Linked DNA regions of Struthio camelus. The protein of the gene in region 2 purifies or fractionates together with the protein of the main gene of each other region. This does not show direct contact. Links are inferred from orthologs where the notes say so. Each region holds a gene or a part of one and is shown on either strand. Other genes may lie near its edges.

Region 1 (7,282 bases), on a different chromosome or scaffold from region 2:
CTGTCTCCAGGATCCTTTGGAGACAGTGAGAACGTGGTCCCTCCCGGCTGGAAGAGAAGACAAGGCTCTGCACAGAAAAGCAGCTGTGCCTGACAGCCAGGCCAAAAGATATGGGGATGGCCTTGGAGAAACATCCTGTTATTTTTGCCACATACCTCTTGCACAATGATTAGTTGTTGGATGAAAGGCTGCTTACAAAGGACGACACACCATGAGCCAGCTGGAGTCATGGCTATCAACACAAGGACAAACAGTGTGGCGGGAGGACTGGTGCTAGATTAGTCTGACAGATGGTTTATCTGAGGCTCACTTTTTTTGATAAAAATGTAATAGCACAGAAGCAGCAATCTGTCAATACCAAACCCTCCTAGAGAGGGATTTCCACAAGCACTAAGCCATAGCCAGTGTGTTTTTACAGCTTCTTTCCTCACAGGCAGCTGTGCAAATCACACACACTGACGATTTCAGCCAGCAATGAAATACCACCGTCTCGGGAATGGCAACATCACAGTAACAACTGGCAGCTGACAAAGAGAGGGGCTGAGGAACACTAGGCCCAGTGTAACCAGAGAAACACAGGGAAAAGCGGGAACTAAGTAGCAAAACATTTTCTTTTATATAGTATTTTTAATTGCATAAGGGAAACACAAACGGCATCTATATGCAGAACTCACTGATTGAGAAGACGTTCTCCTCCTCTTTGGTGATTCTGCAGTGCTCCAGCAGCAGAGCTCCGATGGGCTAGAAAAAGACCAGGAGAGAGGGTTTAAACACATGTTGTCCAGCCAGTGCTACAGGCATGGATCACTAGGGGAGAGTGACCAGATTCATTTTAACCCAGGAGGGGTTATAGGGGAAACCTATCAGAGGAACTGTATTTCCAGGAGATCTTTGCATATTCTGCACTAACTGCAGTAAAAAACAGAAAATCAAAACCAAACAAGTTATGCCAGTGTAGCAAGTTCCTGACCTTCAGCTGATGCTGGAATAAACGTGCATACTCACAGCCTCATTCCTTTGCGGAAAAAAAAAGATTTGCTCAACAAACTGTGAAGACAGCTTGAAACATGCGAGATATACATGTATACATATGCTTTGCTCACATAGTTCTGAACCCACAGAATTTTGCTACTGACTTTTAAGTTTCAAAACTTGATGCGGCTTTTAAGGTAATTTAGTCTACAATTAAAGGAACGTTCAGTGTTCTTCTAAGCAACCGATTTGTGTCTGCTGACATGCTTCATTTTACTAGTCTTATTTTTAACTCTCTGTTTCTACTTCCTCAGATTCAGTCTGGGGGTTAGCATGCACTTCTGTGATGCACAGACAGTGACAGAGTTTACTCTCTAGCTCAACAGATCAAATTAAGATGAAATATTTCAGAGGGCACAGAGAAAGACTAACAAAATTCCACATTTAACTTTGTAAGGGCAGGCTCAAAGCTTTGCAAGAGGCTAAGAACAGTGTGTTGATGAACTAGAACAGTTCAGGATAAACAGACAAACGGCAGGTACTATTTGCCACCCAGTGCACGCTGAGCAAGGACATGAGAACCAAGGAGTGATAGAAGCCATAAACAAAAGCAAACCACAAGTGAATTCTTTTGTCCAACCTAAACAAAACGGAAGAGACAAATAAAGCAGCAAAGAAGATACCGAAAAATCTGTTTAAAATATGTATTTCTGGCATGACAGTTTTACTTTAGCACTAATCACCTGCCAAATTACTTTTGATCCATTCAATAACATCCTCTGCCTTCCATCAAAACCCACAAAAATGCTTAAAAATAATAATTGTCAGAACAGAAAACAGCAAAACTAGCTTTAGGTTGCAGTAAAGGAGACAGGCTGTAAGGAGTATCCTCCGACTCTCATAACAGAACGCTCACGTGGGAGTTACAGACGAATCTTTACATCTGTCTGCATGTCTACATACACACATACAAGAATGACTGCTCAGCTTTTGGCCATACCTAGAGTATTGTGATTGCAGCTTCAGTGGAAAAGTGATTAGTGACTGCAGTTCAGTAGGCAGGAGAAAAGAAATATCTTAAAATAAGAGCATAACCATTATCAGGGTTAAATTTTGTAATGGACACAGTCTAAAAATGCCACATACCTCTTGCCAGCATGCACACAGCGTGTTTCTTCACACACGCTAAAAAGATTTCTTTTATACTCATTTTTCAACTAGAGACTCTTTAGCAACAGTTATTAAGGAATTCACTTAAAAACCATAATATCTCAGCAGTGGCAAAGCCAGAAACTGAAGCCAGATGTCTTATCCCTCATTCTACTTTTCTAGACCTAAACAGGGCCTCCGAATGCCAAAAATAATAATATTAACAGAGCATAACCATGCAAGTTTCTCAGGAACAGTGAGCACTGTATGTAAGCAATATTCCTGGTGTAGAAGAGAAGAAACAATGCTAATTCTTTTCCCAGGAGAGCATAATATAAACTTCCGCTCACAGTTTAACACGAAAAGCTGCAGCCCTACAACTAAACATTACAGATTCCATCTTTTGCAGTTTTGGGCAATGGTTATGTTTAAAAGACTCATTCCAGATGCATGCAAACAGTATCTGGATGTGGTTAGATGGCAGTGATTTCTTCTCACCCATAGGAGCTTTTACTGTTTTGATAGAAGAGCAAATGTGGGCTCACTGTTCTGGCTAGGGCAGCCTGTTACTGTACCAATTTACAAAGTACATAAAGTCAATTCACAGAGAAAAAAGCAGATTCCATACCTCCGCTTCATCTGTCCGGAAGTAGAAGAGAAAGTTGACAACAAGCTTCACAAGGCGTTTCTTTAACACTGCAAAGAAAAAGAGCATTCAGGTGGCAAGTCTGTGGGATGAAGCGTGTGAGCCAGCTGGCAACGGAAAGGAAAAGGGAAGCACATTCCATCTTTGCTAGCACCCAGCAACACGCTGATTCAACCAAGTCTAGGGGGAAGCTCCATTTTAATTTAAACCTTTGCCGCAGGAGCATCCAATACTAAATCATGCTTGGCCCACTCAGGAAATGCACCGTCTCGATTTATCCCAGTGGGCTGCAAAAAGATGACAACAGAAGTGTCGCAGATTTCTCTAACACCTTCTGGCTGGACCGATCCCAAAGTACGGTGTCAGCTATATACGTGATACAGCCTCCTGCATGTGGCATCTCAAATCCAGGGAGAGACCCTGCCTGGAACTATCAGCACAAAAGTCACTTCTTGAGGATAAAGCCTGTCAGGTCCCTGCAGGTCCTCAGGAAGACAAAAAGCTCTGGGCAACAGCATTGATTTAACATTTAACAGCAAGGAATATTGCAGCAGTATTTCAGCAAAGAGCCTCTTATTTTGACAGACACACTCAAAGCGTTGGGAGAGAGAAAGGAACGTATCTACTTTCCACCCTGATGCCTCCTGCTTCCCTTAAATCCCTCCACATCTCTCCATCTGCATATCCCTCCAGTTCTCCTATCACCCAGTCCCACTTTCACGGCCTCTGCCAGCCACACTCTGCCCCAGCACGTCCAGTCCAGCCTCCTCGTCCTGCCACAGTACCTCCACCCCAGCCCGAGCCCCTCCAGTCCAGCACCCAGTCCTGCCCCGATGCTGCACCCCCAGTCCAAGCCCAAGATCTTCATTCCTGTTCCCCAGCCTTATACCCCCGCTCTACCTCCAGTCCAGCCCCCCAGTACTCCCAGTCTGGCCCTTGCCCTTTCCCCCCAGTACTCCCAGTCTGGCCCTTGTCCCTTCTCCCCAGCACTCCCAGTCCGGCCCTTGTCCCTTCCCCACCAGCACTCCCAGTGCGGCCCTTGTCCCTTCCCCACCAGCACTCCCAGTGCGGCCCTTGTCCCTTCCCCCCAGCACTCCCAGTGCGGCCCTTGCCCCTTCCCCCCAGTACTCCCAGTGCGGCCCTTGCCCCTTCCCCCCAGCACTCCCAGTGCGGCCCTTGCCCCTTCCCCCCAGTACTCCCAGTGCGGCCCTTGTCCCTTCCCCCCAGTACTCCCAGTGCGGCCCTTGCCCCTTCCCCCAGTCCTCCCCGGCCCGCTGTCCCCGCCCGCCGGGCCCCCCTCACCGCTCCCCTTCTTGGGCACCCGCATCAGGATCTCGGCCGCCTTCTCGGCGGGCTGCCGGGCCAGCGAGAGCAGCTCCCGCTCGTTGTAGCGCATGGCGAGGCCCCGCCGCCCTCGGCCGCCGCCGCCGGGCGGCCCCGGCTCCCCTCGGCCCCGGCCCCGGCCCGGAACCGCTCCCGCCCGGAACCGCTCCCGCCCGGAACCGCTCCCGCCCGGCCCGGAACCGCTCGCGCCGCGCCGGAAGTCGCGCGCCGCGGGAAGAGGGGGGGGGCGGTGCGCGTGCGCGTGCGCGGAGCAGGGCGCGGGGCGCGGGCCGGTACGGGCCGGGCCGCGGGGGGGGGGGGGGTGCTCGGAGGGAGGGGTGGCCCGTCCTGGGGGTCAGACCCGTGCTGAGGGGCTGGGGGGGGGGGGAAAGGGGGACTTTGAGGGCTGCTCGGGGGGTGGGGGATTCGCGTGTGGAGCTGTGACCTTTGCTGCGGGGCCGGGGCGAGCGCGAGGGGCCTGTGACCCCTGCTCAGGGCGCGGGGGGGGGGGGGCGGCTCTGGGGCCTTCCTGGGGCTGCTGAGGCCGGGGCCTTGCTGAGGGGTTGGGGCCGGCGGGTGGCCCTGGCCTCCGCCGAGGGTTTGGGGGCTCAGCGGAGGAGGCTCTGCGGCTGTGCTGGTGCGTGTGTGGCGGGGGCGTGGGGCAACTCAGCCTTGGACCCTTGATGGGGCTCTGGGGCTGTTCGTTATCGAGATGGAGGGATTGGGGGCACCTAGTGGGGCTCGTGTGTTGCTAGGGGAGCTGTAGGGCCTTGCTGGAGCCCAGCTGAATGCTTGGGGGAGGAATCCGTCTCTCCTTTTTGCTGAAGAAGGCGTTGAGGAGGTTGGAAGGTCTCTGGGCGGGTTATTTAGGGTTTAGATCGTTTTGGTTCTACTCAACACGCAGCTTGTTGAGTCAGCGCCCCAAGACCTACTGACTTTGAAATTGTGTTCTGTAGCGAGCTCTTAGCGAACGCTTTTACTGTGCCCATCTCCTTTTCTTACTGGTGGGTCTAAATAGGAGAATGACGTCTAGGTTAGGAAAGGCATTAATTATCACCCATGTTGCTTTCCTTCATTTTTCCAGACTTTTTCGTTCTTCTGAACTAGTTGAAGTAGAGAAGTCCCCATCATGGATTTTCAGCATCGTCCTGGAGGTAAAACTGGAAGCGGAGGCGTAGCCTCCGCTTCAGAAAGTAACCGAGACCGCAGGGAGAGACTTCGGCAGCTAGCTTTGGAAACGATTGACATCAACAAGGTGAGCATTGACCAGTCTGTGTATTTAGGAAGGAAAGGACATGTCACTTCAGTCCTACAAACTGTGGCTAAGTTCAGAGCTCTGCTGCCTGGATGAAACAGTTTGGAAGATGAGAGATTTGGTGGAGAGTTGTAGATTTGAATGAAATACTTCTGTTTCTTTTAATGCAGGAGAAACATTTGTGAAAGGGCTGAACAGAGAGAGGCCAAAACTTGTGCATTCAAATAGCTGCCATTGCGTTATTCTTGGGCTTCTCAGGACTGGTTCATATTTTGCTGTTTCTTCACAGCATTTGGGTCTGCTGTTACCGCTTAACAAAATTAGTGTTGTTTGTCTCTGCTTTTATATTCCTAAAATAATGTTATGCTAATAATTGAAACCCAAGAACTCAGTTCGTCCAGGGCAGGAAAAAATCTGCATTATGTGTTTTGATTACTCTATTGTTTTGCCATGAATTTTGCTTGTGACTTTAAAAATTCTCTTCCTAGGACCCTTATTTTATGAAAAATCACTTGGGTTCTTATGAATGCAAGCTTTGCCTAACGCTACACAACAATGAGGTGAGTCTATCTTAATCTCCATGCAAAGAAATATTTTGGAATAATATTAACTTCAAATGCAACAATCTGAGGCATATGTAATGACTGATTACTGAGGAGATGGTGAGTGAGGAGTGGTTTGTGTGTGTTAAAGCACGACAGTTCGTGACAGCTCAGCAGTTGTGAGCAATCTGCAATTTTTGAGTAAGATTCCTCTCTGGTAAAGGGGTTAAAATATCCTTGTGGTTTAGAGCGTTTTTTACCTGTCAACATGTAACATAGCTTCTCGTCTATGACAATTATCTTCCAGTTTAAAAACAGTCCTGTCTTCATTTAACTTTCTTCTATCTTGCTTTCATTTCAGGGAAGTTACTTAGCGCATACCCAGGGGAAAAAGCATCAGACCAATTTGTAAGTCATTCTCCACTGTAGCTTTATTCTCCATTACTTAGGCACTCCAGAAGTATGATTGCGTTCATCTATAAATCTTGAATTATGTAGCGGGACACTGTGCTTGAATATCCTTTCACTTTTGAAGTGAACAGCCTGGCACTGGTGAGCAGGTATGGACTAGATCTGCTCCAAACAATGGTGCCAACAAGCTTCGTTTCAAGCTGAAGTTCAAAGCCGGTTGTGGAATTTCTGAAGGAAGGGGGAGAAAGAGCTTTAAAAGCAAACTGCGTAAGTCTGTTTATATCAGGAGTAGGTCTAAGCACCCCTCCCGCATGATTTCAGGGCCCGTCGAGCTGCCAAGGAAGCTAAGGAAGCTCCTGCCCAGCCTGCACCAGAAAAAGTCAAAGTGGAAGTGAAGAAATTTGTGAAAATTGGACGACCAGGTTATAAAGGTATGTCGGGGTGTCTGTCGTGGCATATACTTAATGCTTGGTGAGCTTGCTTGAAGTGCTGTGCTGTGTGTATGAATTATTAATTAGTCTTTTTAGCAGATCTGGCCATGAATAAGATATGGACTTATCTCCTGATGTCCTTGATTGTTTAAATTACCCATGGAACATCTCTTTAGAGCTGACAGTTGAGTGAGGATCTTTTTAATAAGAGATTGCTGTGTCTCAGTCTTTCAGCTCTTATTATAACAGTGAGACGGAAGATGATGACATTGCTTCAGTCTCTCCTCCCCTTTTTATTGTGCTGTACCATCTTTCAGTGATGCTCACGAATCACTCATTGGGTGTATAGCTCAATTTTTTCCCCTCAGCTCCCCATTGTTTTGCTTTAGCCTTCAGTCTGTCTCCCATCTTTGTTTGCAATGCACAGTGTGTCAGTGTCTTTGTCCCACAGCAGCTGAATTTCAGTAGTGACCCATAGTAGCTTTGGTTAAAGACAGTGTAGCATTTGGTAAATGAAAAAAATCTCACAATGTTTTGTTGCATGGAGCTTTGT
Region 2 (7,924 bases):
AGTATCTCCATTTTGGCCTAGATTTGGATTGCAATTTCCATTATGAGGCTGGACTGCTTTGTTTGTAAAAGCCAATTTTTTTTAGTTATTAGGTCCTGTGTTGACCACAACAGTCTATCCATGCAGAGGAAGTTCAAAACCAGGAAAATTAGACTATTTGGACACAATTGTCTTTACAGCATTATCTGCTATGGAGCAGCCAGATTTCACTCGCCTTCCATCTGACCCTGAACTGCTTTAGAGTGTAACTTTAAGGACTGCAGAATAGCGATGATTTAACTGCACTTATTTGACATAGTTCATACACGTTTTAAAAGACAGAAACCACTTATCTTATGAAATATTTTCAAGTGTATGTTCCTATTAGCGCTAGCTATAAAAATAATGCCTCTGGTTGTAAGAAGAGACATAATTCTGCTCTTGCAAAATAATCATTTATTGTGTTGCTATTTAAATACATCCAACAATATAGACATTTTATGCAGCACCACTACCACCTACTGGACAATGGAACCACAGTTGCAAGAAGCGGCAATGTCTCTTCCAGCTATAAATTAGCATGTATAGAAGACAGGCCCTTTGTTATAAGCCCAAAAGCATGTCCAACTATACATCAGCTGGTTAATAAAAACATTATCTTCTCAGTAAAATCCCCCCAAACTGTCTGATGCCATTCTTTACAGAGTATCTACGCTACCACTACGCTAACTGCTGCCTAATAGACAGCACCAGCATTGCAAGGAAGTCTCTAGTTATAGCAATTTTCCTATCTGTTCCTAAAGTACTGGAAGATTTATCCAGCAGCTTCCTATTAGGAAACCTAGCTGAAAGCCTCAATGTTAACAGCAAGTAGGTTTGGCTAAGACAAGAACTAATTAAGTTCCTTTTTCTTTCTGCTGTTTACTAAAGGAACCATCTCTATGGCATTTGTGATGAAGAATAGTCTTAAATTTACATGTCTTAATTTTACAATAAACGACACCAAAATCCTATGCAACAAATATGACAAAAGGCTGTATCAAAATCCCAGTAACATAGTATTAGATTAGTTTACTTTGTATGTAACACTATAACTGAAGTGCATCTTTAGACTCTGTATGAATATGGCTTATCTCTACACGTACACTGTAATACTGCAGTACAAAGTACAAACACCTCATAAAAAGTAGGGATTTATGAACTGATACATTTTTTCTGGTAGCTACTCTGTTGCCCATATATAGATGAAAATACTGGATGCAGTTAGAAACTTCCAAACATAGCAAGGACATGCCTGAACTTGCTTTGATCTCATAACAAACGCAGAAGGAACAAACTCTTGACAACAGCTGGATACACACTGTTTTACATAGTGCCAATATGCAATTATGCAGCTATCCCTCCAAGCATAGACCATTTTGTGAAGGTTCTTCTACAACCTATTGTTTATAATTTGGATTCTATAACACGGTACAGTTAAGTCCTGCTTAGGGTTTTCATCAATATTATTACAGAAGCTCTGTTACTGGCAAGCACAGAAAAAATATCTGTGTTTCTGGGTGAAGCTAAATCCAGCTTTAAGAATACAATTCCAGTTTGGAAGAGTTAAAAGATCAGAGGTTTCAAGATCTGCCTAGCCTTCATAGATGTAATAGCATGTGCTCAAATTATAACACGTGTTGAAGTAGCTTCTAGAAAGGCATTATCCTGACTTGAAGAAATCAAGCAAAGCAAAACAAAACAAAACATCCCCTCTGCCTTACCTTTCTTCCCTTAGCAATTAGTTCCAAAATAGGTCTAATTGTCCTTATTTCTTCCATTTTCTAAAATTATTCTGTACAGCTTTAGCTTTCAGTCACTGGACCTTGTTATGCTTTCATGTCTTCAGCACTTCACACTATTTTCCTCTCAAAGTACTTCAGTGTTATAATCAAGTCACCTCTCAATGTCCTATTACCAGCTAAACAGATTCGGTACTTTTAGTCTTCCACTGAGAGACATTTTCTCTAGCCACCGAACAATGCTGGTGGCCCTTTTTAGAAGTCTGCAGACTGCAAAAAAACTCCAGACTCTAGAACCATATACCGTATTTCAGTATTTATTCTCACTCACGCCCTTTATAGAAGTAAAATAATCTCATTACTCTTGCTCCTCTGCTTATACAACCACGGACATTTTCTTCTTTTCCTACTTAGTTGCCTTTGGAGATATTTGCACATTACATGGCTCCTCAGTCCTCTTCCGTCACTTCATTCCTGAAGATATGGCCTACATATTTCTTGTTCATAGATGTAAAGTTGCATTCAGTTGTATTAATGTGCATTTTAACTGACAGGTGTGCTCAAAAAGTCACTAAGATTGCTCTGTATCAACAAACTCGCGCATACCTTTCAACAATTACTAAATCGTTCACAAAGTCTTATCAGCAAATGCTTTTATATATATTTCCCGAATATTAAAGACTGTACTTTAACTTTGTTGTTTCTCTTAGGCTTTGTCTTATCTACAAAGAGCATACAATAAATTCTGTATTTTAATTATCACCACAGTACAGAAACCTCTTTCATATTCTGTCAGGATATCCTCTGAGGACCTAAAGCGAGCATCATAGAACGCAGAAGACAGATTTCCCCCCTTAGCATACCCAAACAGCATCCAAGCCACCCTCCTGTGAAGCACTGCATACCGTAGGACAGGATGTTGGCAGGAGACACTAATCCTCCTGGTAACACCAAGAAAATTTTGGGGCGCATGCTTAATTTGTCTGGCTCACAGGCTCAAAATTGAATTAGTCACCAGATTTCCATCAAGAATTTTTTTTTCCTGGAGCAGGCTTGAAGAGGTCACTGAGTTTTATCTCCCCTTTCCTCTCCTGCTGTAAGGCCAATTAGACTCTTTTCCCGTATTTATACTCTTCTATTCTTAGCATTTTCTTAGTTACAGTGAGCAGAAGGGATACTTTGTTAAGCAAAATACCTATTGCAAGACTATCTACAATTACCAGATGAAAAGCCAGCCAATCTAGTCCTAAATGCCCAATGAAACGAATTCCTAACCTCATTTGGGCATTATTATTCAAAATAAATACATAATTGACAAGGATTTTCTGATGAGCTCACTTAAGACTGCAGTCGTTACTCTGAAAAACGTTCACGTCAGCCGTAAGACTTCCCGTATTTAATTTCAGCTTCTAGTCTAAGAGATGCTGTAGTTAAAGCACAACTCTTTTAGGACAAATAACCACTTTGAATACTAAGATGGCCATTAAAATGGAGAAAATGCCGTAATACTTTGAAAGATCACCCTTGCTCTTAAAAATACGCAGGCTTCATTCTAACCTGGTATTTCTCAGTCTTCGCTTCTTCTCACACTGGATTAAAGAATACTTTACTGTAAAAACTTTAGAAAGCTTGTACAGTACACTGCTTGACAACATAGTAGTAGTAGCATTTCACTTAATCCTTTGATGGAGCCAGTGTCCCAGCACATCTCAGCATCTTCCTTCGAGAACATGAAAAGCAGCTGTGAGTATATTTTGGCATCTTTTATACACTACAGTAACTTTCAGATTACGCATATTATTAAGGACAAGTTGGGACAGACTCCTTCCAAAGAGCAACAGTATATGGTATTCCCTCTGATTCCCTATTCTAGACTGTTTAGCACTGAATTCTGCATGGCTTTAATTATCAGTTAAGTATCTTGAAAGTATGTGTTTGATGCTGTCTAAAATAAAGATGCAAAACAGAATATCTATCACGCGCACGCAACCTCAAATACCAGGCTGTCTCTTATAGTAGCTAGTGGTCAGACCTGAGATTTGAGGTCACTCGTTCATGAACAAACAGCTGAGCCTTGTCCTGAAGAAAAAGATTTTCATGAAATTCATACTTTCAGCTGACATTTATCCATTTAAAATTCCTGCTGCACCTACAGTGTGTAACAGGGAGCCAAGAAAATTACACGCCTTGTGCCAAGGAACTGCAGCTGCAACAATACAAAGACAGCAAAAGAGCACGGGGAGGGCCACGGCTCTGTCTGAGGACATGTATGTTGCTGACCTTCTTTTCCACGTGATTTGAATGCGGTAGGGGCGTTGTTAGGGAAAAACCTGGCTACACAGGAACAGCACAACCGAGAGCCAAGCACAGGCCCCCCAAGCTGCAGAAAGCCTCCTTCCGGCTCTCCCAGCGCCGCCTCGGAGCGGGCCCCAACCCTCAAGGTCCCGCTCACAGGCCCCAGCGGCGCTCACGGGCCCCAGGTGCCGACCCCCGGCGACGGGCTGGGGCCTTGAAGGCCGAGGCGCCCAGCCCAGCCCGGGCCCGGGCCCGGGCCCCGACCCCGGCCCCGGCCCCGCTCCCTGGGCCGCCCTCCGGCCTCAGCCCGCACCCGCTAGGCGCTAGCAGCGCGCATGCGCAATACACCCCGCCTATTTCCCCCCCCCTCGCCCGGGCGGCGGTTTAACAACGCTCAGCCGGTGTCCGGCCGCTCCCGAGTAACAGGGCGCGGCCCCGCGGGGCAGGCACTACAGGGACCGGGACCACCACCGCCGCCGCCTGCCGGGCCGGGCCAGGCCGGGCTGAGCCGGGCCGGGCCGGGCCCGGGCCCGGGCCAACGGCGCCCTTCGCTGCGCCCCTCCAGGCCGGGCCCAACGGCTCCCTCCATCCCCGCCGCGCGTCACTGCGCCTGCGCCGCGGCGAAGCAGGTGCCCGGATGAACCGTGGCGCGCCTGCGCGCTGGCCCCGCCCCGCTCTCGTTTCTTCACGCGGTGGCGAGATGCCCCCCCTCTGCAACCTCCCGCCCCCCCTCACGTGACCGAGGCGCGTGACGCAGCGAGGCGCTCCGCTGGCCAACGGCGCGGGGCGGCGGCACGTGACCCGTGGCCGCTCTCGCGAGCGTCGGCGCCCGCCGGAGCGCCTCGCCCCTCCCCCCGCCCCCCCCTCCCTGCGGCCCAGGCGACGCGGCGAGGCCAGGCGAGACGGAAGCGGCCGCGGCCCGACGGGACCGAGAGCGGCGCCCCCCGCCCCGGCCCCGCCGAGGTGAGACCCCCCCCCCTTTCCCTCCCCTCCCGCCGCTGCCGCCGGGCGGGAGCCGCCGCCCGGCCCGGGCCCTCCGCCGCCCCCTTTGTTCGCGGCCCCGGGGCGCCGCGGCCTGCGGCGGGGCAGCCTCGGCGCGGGGGCTGCGGCGGTTGAACCGCGCGTTATCCAAACTCGGCGAGTTGCGTTTCCAATGCTTTCTGCGTCCGCTCGGCGCCGTTTCCCTGGCACTGCCGGACCGTGGGTTAGGAAAGGGTAAACCTGTTCGCGATGCGTGTTTCTTGCAGATGTCGGAAGACCTCGCTAAGCAGTTAGCGAGCTACAAAGCTCAGCTTCAGCAAGTGGAGGCTGCCTTATCTGGGAATGCCGAAAATGAAGACCTGCTAAAACTGAAGAAAGACTTACAGGTGAGACTTTAAGGGCATGAGTAGCTGAAACTTCTAGGTCTTTAGGGATTGTTTTCCTAGATGCTCGCACTGCAATAAAAATAAATACCTGATGGGATTATTACTTTCTTTTCATATAATTTGCTAGCGTTGTGGTATGGTTGTTAAAAAACAAAGTTTGGCCTATTTTAAATCTTGTCTCCCCGGATACTCAAAAAGATGTACTATCATTTGTAGCAAACCCTTCTGCTTAAAACTTTTAGCAAAGGTTGTATACAGCTAATAACTTTTCTCTTTAGAACATCACTAAAGCTGAAAATCTGCCTAGAAGTCAGTAGGACAAGAAAAAAGTTGGTGGAAACAATTGTGTTTTTTAGCTTCCAGGGAGTGAGAGAGCGATGAAAGATATGCCAGTGCTGTCTCTTTCTCTCTCATTCTTTATTTTTTTTTTTTCCAAACATTCCTTAGAATGATCTCTCTCCGCTTTAACTGCTAACCTTTGGCTGAGATAGTATCAGAACTGCGATAAATCAAAAATAAGGAAAACTAAATTTTAGATATTGATGAGGGATAAAATGTTCAAATAAAATTATGCAGTGATTAAACAATGTTGTTATTCTTGTTATTTCTACTAGGTTGAAGCCTAATGGTTGGGCTTAACATTTTACCTTTCTACTTATTCTTGAGTTGTCAAATTCATTTGATCCGGAATCTGTTTATTTGTTACATGCGTTTACAATTATACAAGCTCTGGAGTGTAATTCTGTATTCCTTGTATATCTAAGCCTTGATTGTGTTAAGATTTTTATATGAGAAGGGAGAATCAGATTTGTCCTTCATTTGGTATCTGCAGCTCCTAACCATTCGAACTTACTGCATTGTCAAGAAGTAAAACTCATTTCTGGTCCTTAGGATATTGTTCAGTGATAGGAAGACTGCCAGGCTAATTATAAGGTGATATGTAGTCTTTTATATTCTTATGTGTATACTAGACACATTGGCATATAAGAAAACAGCAGTACAGTACAAATTTGGCATGTCAGTGCAAAAATGCTGCTGCTTTTCTATTGTGGGTTGCTTTAGGTATCAGAATTAAAAAATATATATAAAACTGCCCAGTACAAAATTCCGTAACCACTATTCAGAATGGAAATAACAGCAATAGAAATGATACTTCAACCAAAATACAAGTGCTTCAAATCAGTCATCTTTAGAATTCCTTTTAAATTGTAAAGGCTTTGTGCCCATAGGGCACCTTGTAGATCATCTAATGTACTTCGCTGTACACTGTTAAAAGCATGTGTATATTTTTATATTTTTAAAATACACAGCAAAACCCATATGGGATCACATTTCCGATACCAGCACGATCTCGGCTTTGATATACAGAGATCATTGATGTGAAAGGACAACTTGCAAACTTTTTTATAAAAGCTCTCTGCGCAGAATGGGGAAGATGTTTACACTTTCGTCCCCAAAAGGTTTGCTATATCTGTATGTTCCACCTTGAAAATGACATAGAAAATGTTTTGCAAAGTTAATGTATGCCAACCAACCTATTGTAAAAATGTTTCTAAGTCTTTAGCCTCCCAGTTACATAGCTTTTTGTCTGCTCAAAAAGAACGTTACTATGTAACTGAAACTTTTTTTTTCTAATCAGAAATAAGTGATGCACTATGCAGGTGTCAGAAATGATGCACTAGAGGTGCATTTAGTATACTCAGCTTATTCCTGAGTAACAGGATCAAAATAAGCATTACAAGAAATGTTTCCGAATACTTAGCTTTTCTTCTTTTGTTTCGCTGAAACACTTCTAGGATAGTGTCCATGCAGCCCAGGGCCAAACTTAACTTTTGTGTGAACCAGAGTTGATCTTAGCTGTCATCTTCTTTAACTGGAGATGATATTGTGGGTATTGCATTCCAGAATGCACAGCTCTGTCTGAGCGAGAAAAGTCCAGTTGGCAAGGAAAAAATTTGGCAAACTCAAACTGCTGTTCTCTGTGGGTTGCACTTCCATGTCACAGGGGATGTGGCAGCAAGTCATACTGTATAACTCGGTTGGCTGTATTGAATTTTCTTGGTAGCCTAACTCTTGTTCAGAAATTTCCTTTCACTAAGCCACTCAGCTTCCCCTAAAGACTTCTTTAGAATTATCTTGTGAATTGCCATAAGATTAATGTTTCTGTCTTTTTATATGTGCTTAGCATTATGATATGTGGATATCAAATGAAGATTTTTACCAGAAGTTTGCTGTTTCTAGTTTGCTGCTTAAGTGACTTTATCAAAGCCGAAGAACTCCTGGCAGACTTGTCTGAAACTATTCATGTTGAATTCTGTAATAAACCATTTATGAAGGAGGCAAGAATAAGTCAACAATAAGTTTCATATTACAATGGTAGCCTGCATAACTGAAACACTCTCTTTCAGGTAGCTGTTGTCTGGTTTGCTGTATTTGACCTGCTGAGTTAGATGCCTATTTCAAACTGTGATGCCCCTTGGATTTGCAGAATATTATTATGTT
Region 3 (7,874 bases), on a different chromosome or scaffold from region 2:
GGTTTAGAATAGCTGAAGGATAAAGTGTCGAGAGGTTCATTATGATGGATGTCTGAGGGCAGGCAGAGGTTTTTTGTCTTGGCAGGCTCAGAAATGCAGTCCTTATACCTTGCTTGATATCAGCCGTTTGTGAAGAGAGATTTGCATTTATTAACTTTCACAGGAACACTGGCCCAAATTAATACCGGTGAGATAGAAGACATATCCGGTAACTGAAAGGGCCATGATTTATGACCCATACTAGGAAGAAATTTCATGATTCTGGTTGATTTTCTTTAGTGCTTGGTGTTTTTTGTAAAATCAGCAGTATATATGACCAGTCATTTACATATAGATAGATATAGCTAGAGATATAAAATATAGAGCATACATTTGCATTAGAAAAGAAATGGTTCCGTTTAAACTCAGATTATAAACTTTAAACGATTTGTAAAACATTTCATTGTTAGGATCTCATCTCGAGGATGACCATTTAAAAAATAGACAGAGAGACAGAGTCGATCCTAAATGAGGCAAATAGATCTGAATTATCATTGTTAAAAAAACGTGCTATTTTTAACTTGCTACGTTCAGCTCTGCTTCTACAGATGTGTGAGCAAGGCAACTAGTTTAATGTGTCCCTTTGGCAGCCAAAGATATGCAGGGTGAAGCAATAATAAAACCATTGTCTTCTTACTTACAAAAAGATTTTGAATAGTATCTGCAATTGAAGTATCTCAAAATACCCTATAAACTTCTGTAAAGTCTCACAACCACATCATTAGGCAGAGAAAGACGAACTACAAGCAGGAGAAATGGGTAAATTACTGGTTACATGATCTGCAAACAACAGAAGTTGATGCCACAGCTAAGAATTAAGGGCAGATTTACTATTTCACACTCTGGTACATTATCAGGAGCCATAATATAAAATTAGGAGAGCTTTCTTGTATTTCATATATCACAAGTGAACTAGTTTCTGGCATAGCAAGAATTAGGCATACCCTCAATCTACAAAAGGATCCTCAGACGCCCACTTAATCCTACCAGCTATCACAGAGAGCTCTGTGTCTTTATACTGGATAGCCTGAATCCTGTTATGGGGCTGGTGAATCTCTGCCCAGCTTTCCTGAATTCCTGGTGTGCCCAGTTCATGCCCCGAGATGTTTTGCTGCAGAGCAGTGCGTGGATTATGGCTCCTCACCCCTTTTAGGGATGCCCGTTTACTCTCTGCCTTGGTTTTCCACATGTGCAAAGGGAGAAAAATAGCAGTAGTCCCATTGCCAAGCGGGATCAACGACATTTATAACTGAGCTGTTTGGGTGCAGCAATACTGGAAAAGGCACAAATAGATAAAGCAGGTAGAAGGTGACATGCCCTCCCAGGGCCTGACAGCCCAGGGCCACCCGCACCCCTGGCCTGACCCTGCTGTAAGGACACTGCCACTGCTGCCAAGCCCCGGCACCCAGGTCCAAATTTTCCGGCCAACAGCTGAGAGGACTGACCTCAGGTCAGAAGGGGGCTCTGGCCCAGCCTCAACCCCCCCCCCCCCCCCCGGCACTGCAGTTGCTATTTGCATAGTGTTAGCTTGTGGTGCATTATTTTATACCATTAGGTGTGCGGAAAAATTGAATATAAATAAAAAGTTATTTTGGGGTAAATCAACAGGAGAGTGTAGCCAGGAGCATGGCTTCATTAAGTGAATCAGTGCCAGAAACTTCTGCTGGCCCCTCGGAAGGGGTAAATCAAGGACAGGCTAATGTGGCTGGATACTTCTTTCAGCCACAGTGCCAGCTAATGATGGCTTCAGCTGGCCAAAGAAACTGGACCTGAATCTATTCCATAAAGCAAGACATGGCAGGTCTGTAATTTAGGTCTGATTTACTCTAAATCTGCGAAGCTTTGGGGTTCTTAAATCCAGTCTATTCCCAATCCATAGAGGAGTCTCCCTGCAGTGTATGTGCATGTGCGTGCAGGGGAAGGGAACTTTGATAGGCAAAACAGGACTGGTAAACCACTAAGTACCATCCTGTCCATACCCTGTGGAAGCTGCGTGTTAGGGATGTTGTTCAGGAGGCAAGAAATTTGTGTATGCCTATCGAAGCCCTGAATCCTGACACAAATTAAAGAGCCTCGACAGCGTACAGAATTTGTGAGAAAAGATAAAAGACACAAAGAAGCAGAAAGCAGTTTTGTCACTGCACTTCACAGTATATCCTGCTTCAGCACAACACAATTCCTGTCGGCTCTCACAGCACCTTGAGAGAACTCCATCTTTTGTGGGGGAAATAGCATATCCTCAAATTACTACGTAAAAGAGTTCCTTGGGTTGACCACTGCTGAGCTTAGTGATGCATAACAGCAGAAGGAGCACAGCATTGCTGTCCATAACCGTTCAGCCTCACAGGAGCTGGAAGTCAGGCTGAGGAAACAAGAGAAAGTTACTGCAAATTGATATTCATAGTGAACCCGAGCATGTGACGCAGTTACTTAAAATAGTTACATGCATTAAATTCCTGCAGTAGGGAATTACTGTCTGCCTCAATCTTACCCTCATCTATCTCTAGGCAGTTCAGTACATATCTCCTTTTGTGGCCGCTAAGTATGTGCAAGTACATCTTTCTAGAAATGCAGAATGTGAGCTTAATAATACTAAGAGAAGAGAGAGAAGACTCTCAGTATCTTCAAATGACAGTCTCGTTCACTTAAGAACATTTGAATACATTTAATTATGTGAAAAAATAAAAGCAAGGAACTGTTCAGCAAACTTACGTGAGCTAAGCAACACAAAGCAAAAAGAGGTAGATGACAGATGGACAGATCAAACACAGATATTCCCACAAACATACAACCTTGGCTTTATCTTCTTTAAGACTATCCTCCAGGAGTCCTAATGTGAACAATCAGCCTTCATAATGGGAATGATTTATAGGCAGAGAGTGTGATGGTTTTGCCATCATGTACTTATCTCCCTTTTTGCAAATAATTTCTACATTTTACCTTATCAGAAATTCGTTCAACTCACTCAACAGAAATTGTTTCACATTGCTTGTTGCAAAGGCTTGACTATCTTAGTAATTTAGCAGTTGTACAATAAAACCATAAATACAAGTAAATATACTACATAAGATTACATATTACACTGAGTGCTATGAAACGTCATTAATGTGTTGCAAGATTAAGCAATCCTGTATCTGAACTTTGAACTTAGGTTGTGTGGTTAGCCTTGCTGTTTTGCTTAGATTTTTGCCTACTACTGCTAAAAAATAAGACAATGACGAGTTAGCTCATTTGCAACACTTGATATAAGGGAGAGTTCCAAGGGCTTTGGATGTGGACAGAATCAATCCTATTCAGATATGAAGTGCAGTAGCGATAGTATTGAAATATGGATATATCACATTAAAAGAAAAACTGCTAGAAAAGGTAAGAGTTTCCAAAATGAAATGCTGAAGCTGCACAAGAGCAGTTATTGCAGAACAGCCAAACAATTAGTTTCTGTCACCATTCCTACCCAGGGCACGTTTCATAACCCTCTGATCATTCCTCTGCCCTGGTCTGGACTATGTCCAGCTTGTCCACGTCTTTGTTAAATTGCAGAGTCCTAGAATGAACTGCACCACGATGTACTCCATCAGTGGCTTTGACTGTGCCAAGTGAAGTGAAATGATTGCTTTCCAGGTTTTATATACAATACCACTGTTACTCTATCCCAGAATTGGATTTTCTTCTGCAGCAGCATGATGTTGCTGATACATATTTAGCTTTGATTTGCTATCCACATCAGATCATTTTCTCATTATTTTGGCTATTTTGAAAGTGTATACTTGTTTTCAACTTCCAATATGTACTACGTTATGCTCGTCTTCATTAAAGTCCACCTTCTTGATCTCAAATGATTTCTTTTAGGGATCAAGATAATTTTGAATCTCATCTTGCAGCTACTAGTAACTTTGGCCAGTTTGGTGTCATCTGCCAATTCTAGAAACGTATCTTCAATTCCCTTTTCAAAGGTCTTACTAAAATATTCAGTAGAATTGATCTGCCTAGAGTGCTTTTGTCCCCATTAGACAGAGAAAAACATCGGTAACTATTCTAAGGGCGATTTTTCACCCGTCTTGTGGCAAATATACAAATTTATGCCCTGTTTTTGTATCTGTTGCTTTGTCCTTTGTTATCGGCCCAGTTTGCCTGGTAAGAGCAAAGAAAGGTCACGCAATTTGGCAAAACGTAGCAAAGTTGCCAATCTCCACACCAGAACCAACCCTCAGCAGGGAGCAGCATCAGTGAGAAGCGATTTTTCAGGAAGCAGAGACTTATTTGATTGTATTTTGACTATCCGTGCAGTGCAGTGGAAGCGTCATCGTCTTTCGGTGTCTCAAACGAGAAGAAGGCATCTCGCAGGCAGATACTGAAAGAGCGCCACTCATTTGTCTTTGGCTGAAGACAAACGAGAAACACTGGAGCCCTTGTACTTCAGGATAACACAGCAGCTACTTACTGCCGTGCCAAGGCCAGCAGAAGACACTGTCCCCTATCAACTGGCCTGGAAAGCACCGCTCCCTGCCCTCGCCCTGCGTTTGGGCCCTGCCCGCAGCCCTGCTGCGCCACACGCCTCAGCCCGCCTCAGCGCCCCCCTCCGCGCGCGCCCCTCCCAACGGCCGCCCCCGCGCGCGCCCCTCCCAACGGTCTCCTCCACGGCGCGCCCCTCCCAACGGCCGCCTCCGCACCGCTCAGCCGCCCTGCCATTCGCTGACCGCGCCGTCCATCACGGCGTGGGCGGGGCTCCGGCGCTGGCTCGCGGGGCTGCCCGGCCGGCAGAATGGCACCGCCTCTCGGCCTTCACTGCGCTTGCGCGGGGCCCCGCGCCGCGCTCAACCCGTGCCCCGCCCCCCAGCTGGCGCTTGCGCGTTGAGGCCCCGCTCCCCCTCCCCTCTGTAGCGGAAGTGGCTGGGCCGAGCCAGTTCCGCCTCGGCGTTGTTCGCTCTGGACAAAATGGCGAAGATCGCCAAGACCCACGAAGGTAAAAAGCCCCTATAGAGCCGCGGCGGCGCTGCTGGTACCCGCGTGTCCTGCCCCGGCCCTCCGATTCCGCTTCTCCCCGACTCCTGGGCCGCGTCAGGCCCGGCTGCGCGGCCGGGGGCCGGGGCCGGGCGGGCTCGCCCCGGGCGGGCTGGGCCTTGTGTAATGGCGTCTCCGGCGGTGTCACCGCCATGCCCGGGCCGCCGGCTGGCGCGGGGCCGGGGCGCCGCTCAGTTCCGGCTTTGTTGACCCCGAGAGGCCGCCGCGGCGCGGCGGCGACGTGAGCGCGGCCCCGGTCGCCCGTGGGCCGCGCCGGGCCCGGCCCTGGCCCCGCTCCGCCGCCGCGGCCTTGCCCCCTGCGTGGCGCCCGCTCGGAATGGCGCTTTCCGCCCGCCTCGGTTTGACGTGACGCGCGTCAATAACGCACGCTTATTTTGTTTAAGTGAGCCCTTGGGCCTGTGTCCGCTAGAAAGCGGAGGCCGCGGGCGCAGGGTGAGCTGTGATGCTGATGGCCTGAGTTGTTGCTAGGCGTCGTGTCGGCACGGCGCTGTTGAGAAAAATGCCCCGAAGGAGGGGAAAAAGCAGCGTGAGGTCTCAGGCTTTTAAAATGCCGTTTCAGCACGGAGGCTTCCTGTCGACTGGGGGTTTACATGGGAAAACTGATCTCTGAGCAGTTTGTGAGTGAGGGTCTTTACAGGCAGTATGTTGTTGCTCTCTGAGGTGTTACATGGCTCTGTACAGCATGAATAAAAGCTATCTCTTTTGTCAATGTCAGGGGTTTGTTTAGCTCTTAAGTATCTTAAAGCAAATGGTGTTGTTTTTAGAATTGTACTGCTTAATGCTTTCCTGCAAATGTTTTCTGTTTTTGTGTTTTTACTCATGTTTCTGCGTGTGATAGATGAACTGCTGTGCTTTGTATTAATTTACATACTGGATTCACTAATCAAAAAGTACTTCTGGACAATGGTTGTACCAAGTGAGGTAGGCAGGCTGTCTCTCAGGGAAGTAAGTTTTGCACTGAAAAAAATTCCTAATTTAGAGGCAGCTCCAGGTTGACGTGGACTGCAGGATCTGGTCTGAGCTTATGTAAGAAGGGGAAGCTTAAATAATTTTCTTCACTTCTCCCCCCCCCCCCCCCAAATAATTTGAGATTATATTTTAGCATTCTATAATGTTTTTTATAGAGTTACTGAATTTATTTATCTTCTGGTTATATGCTATGGCATGTATAAGGTTTGTATTGGATATTACCCAATTGGGTGTTACACATCACAGTGCTCTGTCTCTCTCACTAGTCAAAGATATTTTAATAATAAAATAGCAATATGATGTTTTTTCTTATTTTTCTTATACACTAAAGCAAGTCATGGTCCATTGAATTTAACGGAAGTGTTGTCATGCTTCCAGTTATGAGTATTAACAGATTAGCTTTGAAGCAGGCTTTAAAGGGTTTTTTGGTATGTAAATAAATTGTTATGTACAATTGGCAGTCATCATGTAATGTTATCTTGCCCTACATAGACATACTGGCTGAATGACTTGATTTTTTTTTTCTTTTGAGTTGTATGTTTTTTTTTTTTTTTTATTCCTGACTTATCTCCTAAATTGAATGAGTTATCTGTTACTAAATTCTCTTAAGATGTTTCACATCTTTGTACTGCTTTTAAATACTTGCTGATTTGATGTGTTCAAGACACAACTTGGAAAAGATCTCACACAGTTTGGGATTATTTCACTTGCATGATCTACAGGGAAATACTCAGTTAAATTAAAGTTTCAAAGTTATAAAAAGGTTATAAAATAGGAACTTATAAAGTATCTTAAGTGCTTGAGTTTTGAAATGCTACTGAAAATAGGTTTTTAATTGACAGTGCCTTGTTAAATAAGAAAAAAGGTTAAAAGAAGCAAACCTCCAAACATAATAAAGATTTAGTCCTAACACGGAGGAGAATCCTAAAGTGATTAGGATTGCACAGGGCAAGCTAAGAATGCAAAAATATAATTAGTAAATTGGAAAACATAGAAACTACTTCCACTCTAAAATACTTAAAATACTACTTCAATACAGGGAATGATTCTTCTTTCTTTTTTTAATGACGAGTAACGTTTTCCTTTCCAAACGTTGTAGATGGAACTAATCTTATAATAGTGGAGTATGTATTTTGAGAAGGGCTATCATGATCTGACTGTGAACTAGGTTTTCAGTGACTTTCAATTCATATGTGTTCACTTTCATGTTATGTATTCACTGTATTTTCCAAATCAATTGTGCATGTTAAAAGTACTCTTTCAAAAATACCAAAATATGTTAAAGTTACTGAATGGGGTAAAATACAGAAAGGGGATGATCAGTGGGATGTTGTGCTGTGTTTTGTGGTCTCTACTGCTGTTTGATCGAAGTAACTTTCTGTGTTTAGGCCCTGGTTCAGTAAATCATCAGACAAGTACTTCGCTTTACAAAATCACATTCCTAAGCTATCGAGATTACTCTCATTCTTCATCTGTTTTATGTTTAAATGCTTTCTTAAATAGAGTGTTAGATTTTTCTAGAAAATGCTGGCTAGATCAAGGAAGGTAAACATCTCTTTAATCTCAAACTAAAGTCTTTTCCTGCCAAGTATGTGGTACTTTGGAAACTTGCAATCGAGTTGTGTCTGGCTGCAGACCTTTTAAACCTGCTGGTTAAGGGAGGGTGCAGCTCATCAAATGGATGTTCTCTTTAAGAAGTGCTTCATTTAGACTGTAAGTCTAGCACTTACGGACTTCATTGCCTTGGTTGAAAATGATCATGGCCATAAGTGGGGGTTTGCTAACCCTACTGATTCCATGCCGACTCTTTTTGTGGTTTAGAATAAGCTGGCAGGTTTTGCTCT
Region 4 (7,365 bases), on a different chromosome or scaffold from region 2:
CAATGGGGCACCCCAGGGTCCTCCATGCTCCCCATGGTACCCATCGCCCCCCATGGGGCACCCCAGGGCCCTCCCCTGCCACCAGAGCACCCACCGTCACTCTGCCCCCCAATGAGGCACCCCAGAGCCCCCCCAACCCCCACAGCACTTGTCACTCCCCCAATGGGGCACCCCAGAGCCCCCTCTGCCACCTACAGCGCCCGCTGCCCCCAATGGGGCACCCCAGGGCCCTCCCGGCCCCCCACAGCCCCCCAGAGCCCCCCATGGGGCACCCCAGAGTCCCCCCTGCTCCCCATGGCACCTATCGCCCCCCATGGGGCACCCCAGAGCCCCCCCTGCTCCCCACAGCACCCACCGCCCCCCATGGGGCACCCCAGAGCCCCCCCTGCCCCCCACAGCACCCGCCACCCCCCACAGGGCACCCCAGGGCCCTACCTGCCCCGGCAGCGGGGGCTGCGCCGCCTTGTCGCCCTCCTCTGCCCGGAGCACAGGGCGGCTCAGCACGATGCCTGTCTGTGGGGTGCAAAATGGGGGGGGGGGGAACGTGGTGATGGGGTGTCCGATTTGGGGACCCTGCCTCGGGGGAGGGTGTAGGGACCCCCCCCCACCCTGAGGGGACACAGGGACTGCACTCCAGATGGTGGGAGGGGATGTGGAGCAGGGATCCCAGCTGGGGGGGGATATTGGAACATGGGGGACCCCCACCCGGGGGGACGCTGGGACACGGCAGCACCCACGTGGGGGACGAGGAGGGGCTGACCCCCCCCGAGGGTGCCCCGGCGCAGGGCCACCCGCGGGTGCCGGGGCGGCTCACCTGCAGGGTGTAGGTCTGCAGCCGCTCCACCAGCTCCTCCCGGCTGCCTGTGGGGCACCCGTCGGTCAGGGACCCCCAATACCCCCGGAGGGACCCCAATTCCCCCCCACCCCAAAACCTGCTCTCAAATGCCCCCCCCCACCCAAATCCCCCTGCCAGTGTCCCCAAATACCTCCATCCCTGTCCCCAAATGCCCTTCCGAGTCTCCCCCAAATACCCCCACGGCCTGTCCCCAACTCCCCTCGTCCCTGCCCCAAATACTCCTACAACTCCCCCCAAATACCCCCATGGCCTGTCCCCAACCCCCCCCCCCGTCCCTGTCCCCAAATACTCCTCCAACTCCCCCCAAATACCCCCATGGCCTGTCCCCAACCCTCCCCTCGTCCCTGCCCCAAATACTCCTACAACTCCCCCCAAATACCCCCACGGCCTGTCCCCAACTCCCCTCGTCCCTGCCCCAAATACTCCTACAACTCCCCCCAAATACCCCCACGGCCTGTCCCCAACCCTCCCCTCGTCCCTGCCCCAAATACTCCTACAACTCCCCCCAAATACCCCCACGGCCTGTCCCCAACCCTCCCCTCGTCCCTGTCCCCAAATACTCCTACAACTCCCCCCAAATACCCCCACGGCCTGCCCCCAACCCTCCCCTCGTCCCTGCCCCAAATACTCCTACAACTCCCCCCAAATACCCCACGGCCTGTCCCCAACCCCCCCCTTGTCCCTGTCCCCAAATACTCCTACAACTCCCCCCCAAAACCCCCACGGCCTGCCCCCAACCCTCCCCTCGTCCCTGTCCCAAATACTCCTCCAACTCCCCCCAAATACCCCCACGGCCTGTCCCCAACCCTCCCCTCGTCCCTGCCCCAAATACTCCTACAACTCCCCCCAAATACCCCCACGGCCTGTCCCCAACCCTCCCCTCGTCCCTGCCCCAAATACTCCTACAACTCCCCCCAAATACCCCACGGCCTGTCCCCAACTCCCCTCGTCCCTGCCCCAAATACTCCTACAACTCCCCCCAAATACCCCACGGCCTGTCCCCAACTCCCCTCGTCCCTGCCCCAAATACTCCTACAACTCCCCCCAAATACCCCCACGGCCTGTCCCCAACCCCCCCCCTTGTCCCTGCCCCAAATACTCCTACAACTCCCCCCAAATACCCCCATGGCCTGTCCCCAACCCTCCCCTCGTCCCTGCCCCAAATACTCCTCCAACTCCCCCCCAAAACCCCCACGGCCTGTCCCCAACCCCCCCCTTGTCCCTGCCCCAAATACTCCTACAACTCCCCCCAAATACCCCACGGCCTGTCCCCAACTCCCCTCGTCCCTGCCCCAAATACTCCTACAACTCCCCCCAAATACCCCCATCCCTGTCCCCAACCCTCCCCTCGTCCCTGCCCCAAATACTCCTACAACTCCCCCCAAACACCCCCATCCCTGTCCCCAAACACCCCCATCCCCATCCCTATCCCCCCCGCGGCCTGTCCCCAAATACTCTAAATCCTGCCCCCCCGAACCCCCCCCAGCCCCCAAACACCCCCATCCCCAACCCCCCCTCAAGGCCTGCCCCCACCAGCCCCCAAACGCCCCCCGGCCTGTCCCCAAATACTCTAAATCCTGCCCCCCCGACCCCCCCCAGCCCCCAAACACCCCCATCCCCAACCCCCCCTCAAGGCCTGCCCCCCCCAGCCCCCAAACGCCCCCCGGCCTGTCCCCAAATACTCTAAATCCTGCCCCCCCGACCCCCCCCCAGGCCCCAAACACCCCCATCCCTGTCCCCAAACACCCCCATCCCCAACCCCCCCTCAAGGCCTGCCCCCACCAGCCCCCAAACGCCCCCCGGCCTGTCCCCAAATACTCTAAATCCTGCCCCCCCGACCCCCCCCAGCCCCCAAACACCCCCATCCCCAACCCCCCCTCAAGGCCTGCCCCCCCCAGCCCCCAAACGCCCCCCCGGCCTGCCCCCAAATACCCTCAACTCTGACCCCCAGACCCCCCCGGCCCCCGCCCCGCCCCGGCGGACCCTGCGCGGGGGCGCCGATGTCGGCCAGCGTGGCCTGCAGCTCGGCGGGGGCCCAGGCGGCGTAGGGCGCCGGCGGCGGCGGTGGCGGCGGCAACTCCCCCGCGCCGGGGCCCGCGGCCGCCTCCGGCCGCTCCGTCGCCATCTTCCTTCCCGCGCCCGCCGCCCCCTCCCGCCGCGCACGCGCCAGGCGACCTGCCGACCTGGCGTCATGGCGTCATGGCGTCATGACGGCGGCGACCGCGCGCTGCCTGCTGGGAATTGTAGTCCCCGGCGCGGGAAGGCGGGTGGGACCCAGGCGGCCGAGCCGGCCCTGAGGTAACGGCCGGGCACCCGGGGGGGGGGGGGGCAGGACGCCTGGGCCCCGGGGGGAGGAGGGGTCCCCGGACGCCTGGGCCCGGGCACGATGACTCAGCACGCCGTGGGAACGCGTGTGCGGGGCAGTGCCGTGTTGGTGGGGTGTGCTGGGGGTGTGTGTGCGGGGGGCGGTGCCCTGTCGGTGGGGTGTGCTGGGGGTGTGTGTGGGGCGGTGCCCTGTCGGTGGGGTGTGCTGGGGGTGTGTGTGTGGGGCAGTGCCCTGTCGGTGGGGTGTGCTGGGGGTGTGTGCCGGGCGGTGCCCTGTCGGTGGGGTGTGCTGGGGGTGTGCGGGGTAGTGCCCTGTCGGTGGGGTGTGCTGGGGGTGTGTGTGTGGGGCGGTGCCCTGTCGGTGGGGTGTGCTGGGGGTGTGTGTGGGGCGGTGCCCTGTCGGTGGGGTGTGCTGGGGGTCTGTGTGTGCGGGGCGGTGCCCTGTCGGTGGGGTGTGCTGGGGGTGTGTGTGCGGGGCGGTGCCCTGTCGGTGGGGTGTGCTGGGGGTGTGTGTGGGGCGGTGCCCTGTCGGTGGGGTGTGCTGGGGGTGTGTGTGTGGGGCAGTGCCCTGTCGGTGGGGTGTGCTGGGGGTGTGTGTGTGGGGCGGTGCCCTGTCGGTGGGGTGTGCTGGGGGTGTGTGTGGGGCGGTGCCCTGTCGGTGGGGTGTGCTAGGGGTGTGTGTGCGGGGCGGTGCCCTGTCGGTGGGGTGTGCTGGGTGTGTGTGCGGGGCGGTGCCCTGTCGGTGGGGTGTGCTGGGGGTCTGTGTGTGCGGGGCGGTGCCCTGTCGGTGGGGTGTGCTGGGGGTCTGTGTGTGCGGGGCGGTGCCCTGTCGGTGGGGTGTGCTGGGGGTGTGTGTGCGGGGCGGTGCCCTGTCGGTGGGGTGTGCTGGGTGTGTGTGCGGGGCGGTGCCCTGTCGGTGGGGTGTGCTGGGGGTGTGTGTGCGGGGCGGTGCCCTGTCGGTGGGGTGTGCTGGGGGTGTGTGTGCTGGGCGGTGCCCTGTCGGTGGGGTGTGCTGGGGGTGTGTGTGCGGGGCGGTGCCCTGTCGGTGGGGTGTGCTGGGGGTGTGTGTGCGGGGCGGTGCCCTGTCGGTGGGGTGTGCTGGGGGTGTGTGCGGGGCGGTGCCCTGTCGGTGGGGTGTGCTGGGGGTGTGTGTGTGCGGGGCGGTGCCCTGTCGGTGGGGTGTGCTGGGGGTGTGTGCGGGGCGGTGCCCTGTCGGTGGGGTGTGCTGGGGGTGTGTGTGTGCGGGGCGGTGCCCTGTCGGTGGGGTGTGCTGGGGGTGTGTGCGGGGCGGTGCCCTGTCGGTGGGGTGTGCTGGGGGTGTGTGTGTGCGGGACGGTGCCCTGTCGGTGGGGTGTGCTGGGGGTGTGTGTGTGCGGGGCGGTGCCCTGTCGGTGGGGTGTGCTGGGGGTGTGTGTGGGGCGGTGCCCTGTCGGTGGGGTGTGCTGGGGGTGTGTGTGTGGGGCGGTGCCCTGTCGGTGGGGTGTGCTGGGGGTGTGTGTGGGGCGGTGCCCTGTCGGTGGGGTGTGCTGGGGGTCTGTGTGTGCGGGGCGGTGCCCTGTCGGTGGGGTGTGCTGGGGGTGTGTGTGCGGGGCGGTGCCCTGTCGGTGGGGTGTGCTGGGGGTGTGTGTGGGGCGGTGCCCTGTCGGTGGGGTGTGCTGGGGGTGTGTGTGTGGGGCAGTGCCCTGTCGGTGGGGTGTGCTGGGGGTGTGTGTGTGGGGCGGTGCCCTGTCGGTGGGGTGTGCTGGGGGTGTGTGTGGGGCGGTGCCCTGTCGGTGGGGTGTGCTAGGGGTGTGTGTGCGGGGCGGTGCCCTGTCGGTGGGGTGTGCTGGGTGTGTGTGCGGGGCGGTGCCCTGTCGGTGGGGTGTGCTGGGGGTCTGTGTGTGCGGGGCGGTGCCCTGTCGGTGGGGTGTGCTGGGGGTCTGTGTGTGCGGGGCGGTGCCCTGTCGGTGGGGTGTGCTGGGGGTGTGTGTGCGGGGCGGTGCCCTGTCGGTGGGGTGTGCTGGGTGTGTGTGCGGGGCGGTGCCCTGTCGGTGGGGTGTGCTGGGGGTGTGTGCTGGGCGGTGCCCTGTCGGTGGGGTGTGCTGGGGGTGTGTGTGTGCGGGGCGGTGCCCTGTCGGTGGGGTGTGCTGGGGGTGTGTGCGGGGCGGTGCCCTGTCGGTGGGGTGTGCTGGGGGGGTGTGCGGGGCGGTGCCCTGTCGGTGGGGTGTGCTGGGGGTGTGTGTGCGGGGCGGTGCCCTGTCGGTGGGGTGTGCTGGGGGTGTGTGTGCGGGGCGGTGCCCTGTCGGTGGGGTGTGCTGGGGGTGTGTGCGGGGCGGTGCCCTGTCGGTGGGGTGTGCTGGGGGTGTGTGTGCGGGGCGGTGCCCTGTCGGTGGGGTGTGCTGGGGGTGTGTGTGCGGGGCGGTGCCCTGTCGGTGGGGTGTGCTGGGGGTGTGTGTGGGGCGGTGCCCTGTCGGTGGGGTGTGCTGGGGGTGTGTGTGCGGGGCGGTGCCCTGTCGGTGGGGTGTGCTGGGGGTGTGTGCGGGGCGGTGCCCTGTCGGTGGGGTGTGCTGGGGGTGTGTGTGTGCGGGGCGGTGCCCTGTCGGTGGGGTGTGCTGGGGGTGTGTGCGGGGCGGTGCCCTGTCGGTGGGGTGTGCTGGGGGTGTGTGTGTGCGGGACGGTGCCCTGTCGGTGGGGTGTGCTGGGGGTGTGTGTGTGCGGGGCGGTGCCCTGTCGGTGGGGTGTGCTGGGGGTGTGTGTGGGGCGGTGCCCTGTCGGTGGGGTGTGCTGGGGGTGTGTGTGCGGGGCGGTGCCCTGTCGGTGGGGTGTGCTGGGGGGTGTGTGTGCGGGGCGGTGCCCTGTCGGTGGGGTGTGCTGGGGGTGTGTGCGGGGCGGTGCCCTGTCGGTGGGGTGTGCTGGGGGTGTGTGTGTGCGGGGCGGTGCCGTGTCGGTGGGGTGTGCTGGGTGTGTGTGTGCGGGGCGGTGCCCTGTTGGTGGGGTGTGCTGGGTGTGTATGGGGCAGTGCCCTGTCAGTGGGGTGTGCTGGGGGTGTGTGTGTGCGGGGCGGTGCCCTGTCGGTGGGGTGTGCTGGGGGTGTGTGTGTGCGGGGCGGTGCCCTGTCGGTGGGGTGTGCTGGGGGTGTGTGCGGGGCGGTGCCCTGTCGGTGGGGTGTGCTGGGGGTGTGTGCGGGGCGGTGCCCTGTCGGTGGGGTGTGCTGGGGGTGTGTGTGCGGGGCGGTGCCCTGTCGGTGGGGTGTGCTGGGGGTGTGTGCTGGGCGGTGCCCTGTCGGTGGGGTGTGCTGGGGGTCTGTGTGTGCCGGGCGGTGCCCTGTCGGTGGGGTGTGCTGGGGGTGTGCGGGGTAGTGCCCTGTCGGTGGGGTGTGCTGGGGGTGTGTGTGCGGGGCGATGCCCTGTCGGTGGGGTGTGCTGGGGGTGTGTGCGGGGCGGTGCCCTGTCGGTGGGGTGTGCTGGGTGTGTGTGTGCGGGGCGGTGCCCTGTCGGTGGGGTGTGCTGGGTGTGTGTGCTGGGCGGTGCCCTGTCGGTGGGGTGTGCTGGGGGTGTGTGTGCGGGGCGGTGCCCTGTCGGTGGGGTGTGCTGGGGGTGTGTGCGGGGCGGTGCCCTGTCGGTGGGGTGTGCTGGGGGTGTGTGTGTGCGGGGCGGTGCCCTGTCGGTGGGGTGTGCTGGGGGTGTGTGCGGGGCGGTGCCCTGTCGGTGGGGTGTGCTGGGGGTGTGTGTGTGCGGGACGGTGCCCTGTCGGTGGGGTGTGCTGGGGGTGTGTGTGTGCGGGGCGGTGCCCTGTCGGTGGGGTGTGCTGGGGGTGTGTGTGGGGCGGTGCCCTGTCGGTGGGGTGTGCTGGGGGTGTGTGTGTGGGGCGGTGCCCTGTCGGTGGGGTGTGCTGGGGGTGTGTGCGCGGGGCGGTGCCCTGTCGGTGGGGTGTGCTGGGGGTGTGTGTGTGGGGCGGTGCCCTGTCGGTGGGGTGTGCTGGGGGTGTGTGTGCGGGGCGGTGCCCTGTCGGTGGGGTGTGCTGGGGGTGTGTGTGTGCGGGGCGGTGCCCTGTCGGTGGGGTGTGCTGGGGGTGTGTGCTGGGCGGTGCCCTGTCGGTGGGGTGTGCTGGGGGTCTGTGTGTGCCGGGCGGTGCCCTGTCGGTGGGGTGTGCTGGGGGTGTGCGGGGTAGTGCCCTGTCGGTGGGGTGTGCTGGGGGTGTGTGTG

The links.
Region 1: the proteins of SMNDC1 (region 2) and SF3A2 purify together in Homo sapiens (affinity purification with mass spectrometry; 4 studies listed by BioGRID and IntAct, with this or other methods). This does not show direct contact. The link is inferred for Struthio camelus from reciprocal best matches to the Homo sapiens genes SMNDC1 and SF3A2.
Region 3: the proteins of SMNDC1 (region 2) and SF3B1 purify together in Homo sapiens (co-immunoprecipitation; 5 studies listed by BioGRID and IntAct, with this or other methods). This does not show direct contact. The link is inferred for Struthio camelus from reciprocal best matches to the Homo sapiens genes SMNDC1 and SF3B1.
Region 4: the proteins of SMNDC1 (region 2) and SF3B2 purify together in Homo sapiens (affinity purification with mass spectrometry; 3 studies listed by BioGRID and IntAct, with this or other methods). This does not show direct contact. The link is inferred for Struthio camelus from reciprocal best matches to the Homo sapiens genes SMNDC1 and SF3B2.

The regions. Positions count from the first base shown.
Region 1 is NC_090967.1:3,447,209-3,454,490, forward strand, and holds the start of SF3A2 (splicing factor 3A subunit 2), read left to right. Parts: upstream 1-4,277; 5' UTR 4,278-4,383; intron 4,384-4,392; exon of another isoform or gene 4,393-4,444; intron 4,445-4,498; exon of another isoform or gene 4,499-4,939; intron 4,940-5,174; 5' UTR 5,175-5,219; coding exon 5,220-5,345; intron 5,346-5,833; coding exon 5,834-5,905; intron 5,906-6,248; coding exon 6,249-6,295; intron 6,296-6,619; coding exon 6,620-6,729; intron 6,730-7,282. Other genes in the region: PLEKHJ1 (pleckstrin homology domain-containing family J member 1), read right to left, coding at 675-741, 2,750-2,817, 4,070-4,163. UniProt on the Homo sapiens protein: Component of the 17S U2 SnRNP complex of the spliceosome, a large ribonucleoprotein complex that removes introns from transcribed pre-mRNAs.
Region 2 is NC_090948.1:12,478,470-12,486,393, forward strand, and holds the start of SMNDC1 (survival of motor neuron-related-splicing factor 30), read left to right. Parts: upstream 1-4,918; 5' UTR 4,919-5,018; intron 5,019-5,302; coding exon 5,303-5,422; intron 5,423-7,924. UniProt on the Homo sapiens protein: Involved in spliceosome assembly.
Region 3 is NC_090947.1:11,827,229-11,835,102, forward strand, and holds the start of SF3B1 (splicing factor 3B subunit 1), read left to right. Parts: upstream 1-4,865; 5' UTR 4,866-4,974; coding exon 4,975-5,002; intron 5,003-7,874. UniProt on the Homo sapiens protein: Component of the 17S U2 SnRNP complex of the spliceosome, a large ribonucleoprotein complex that removes introns from transcribed pre-mRNAs.
Region 4 is NC_090976.1:1,018,025-1,025,389, reverse strand, and holds the start of SF3B2 (splicing factor 3B subunit 2), read right to left. Parts: upstream 3,008-7,365; 5' UTR 2,982-3,007; coding exon 2,840-2,981; intron 862-2,839; coding exon 815-861; intron 514-814; coding exon 436-513; intron 1-435. UniProt on the Homo sapiens protein: Component of the 17S U2 SnRNP complex of the spliceosome, a large ribonucleoprotein complex that removes introns from transcribed pre-mRNAs.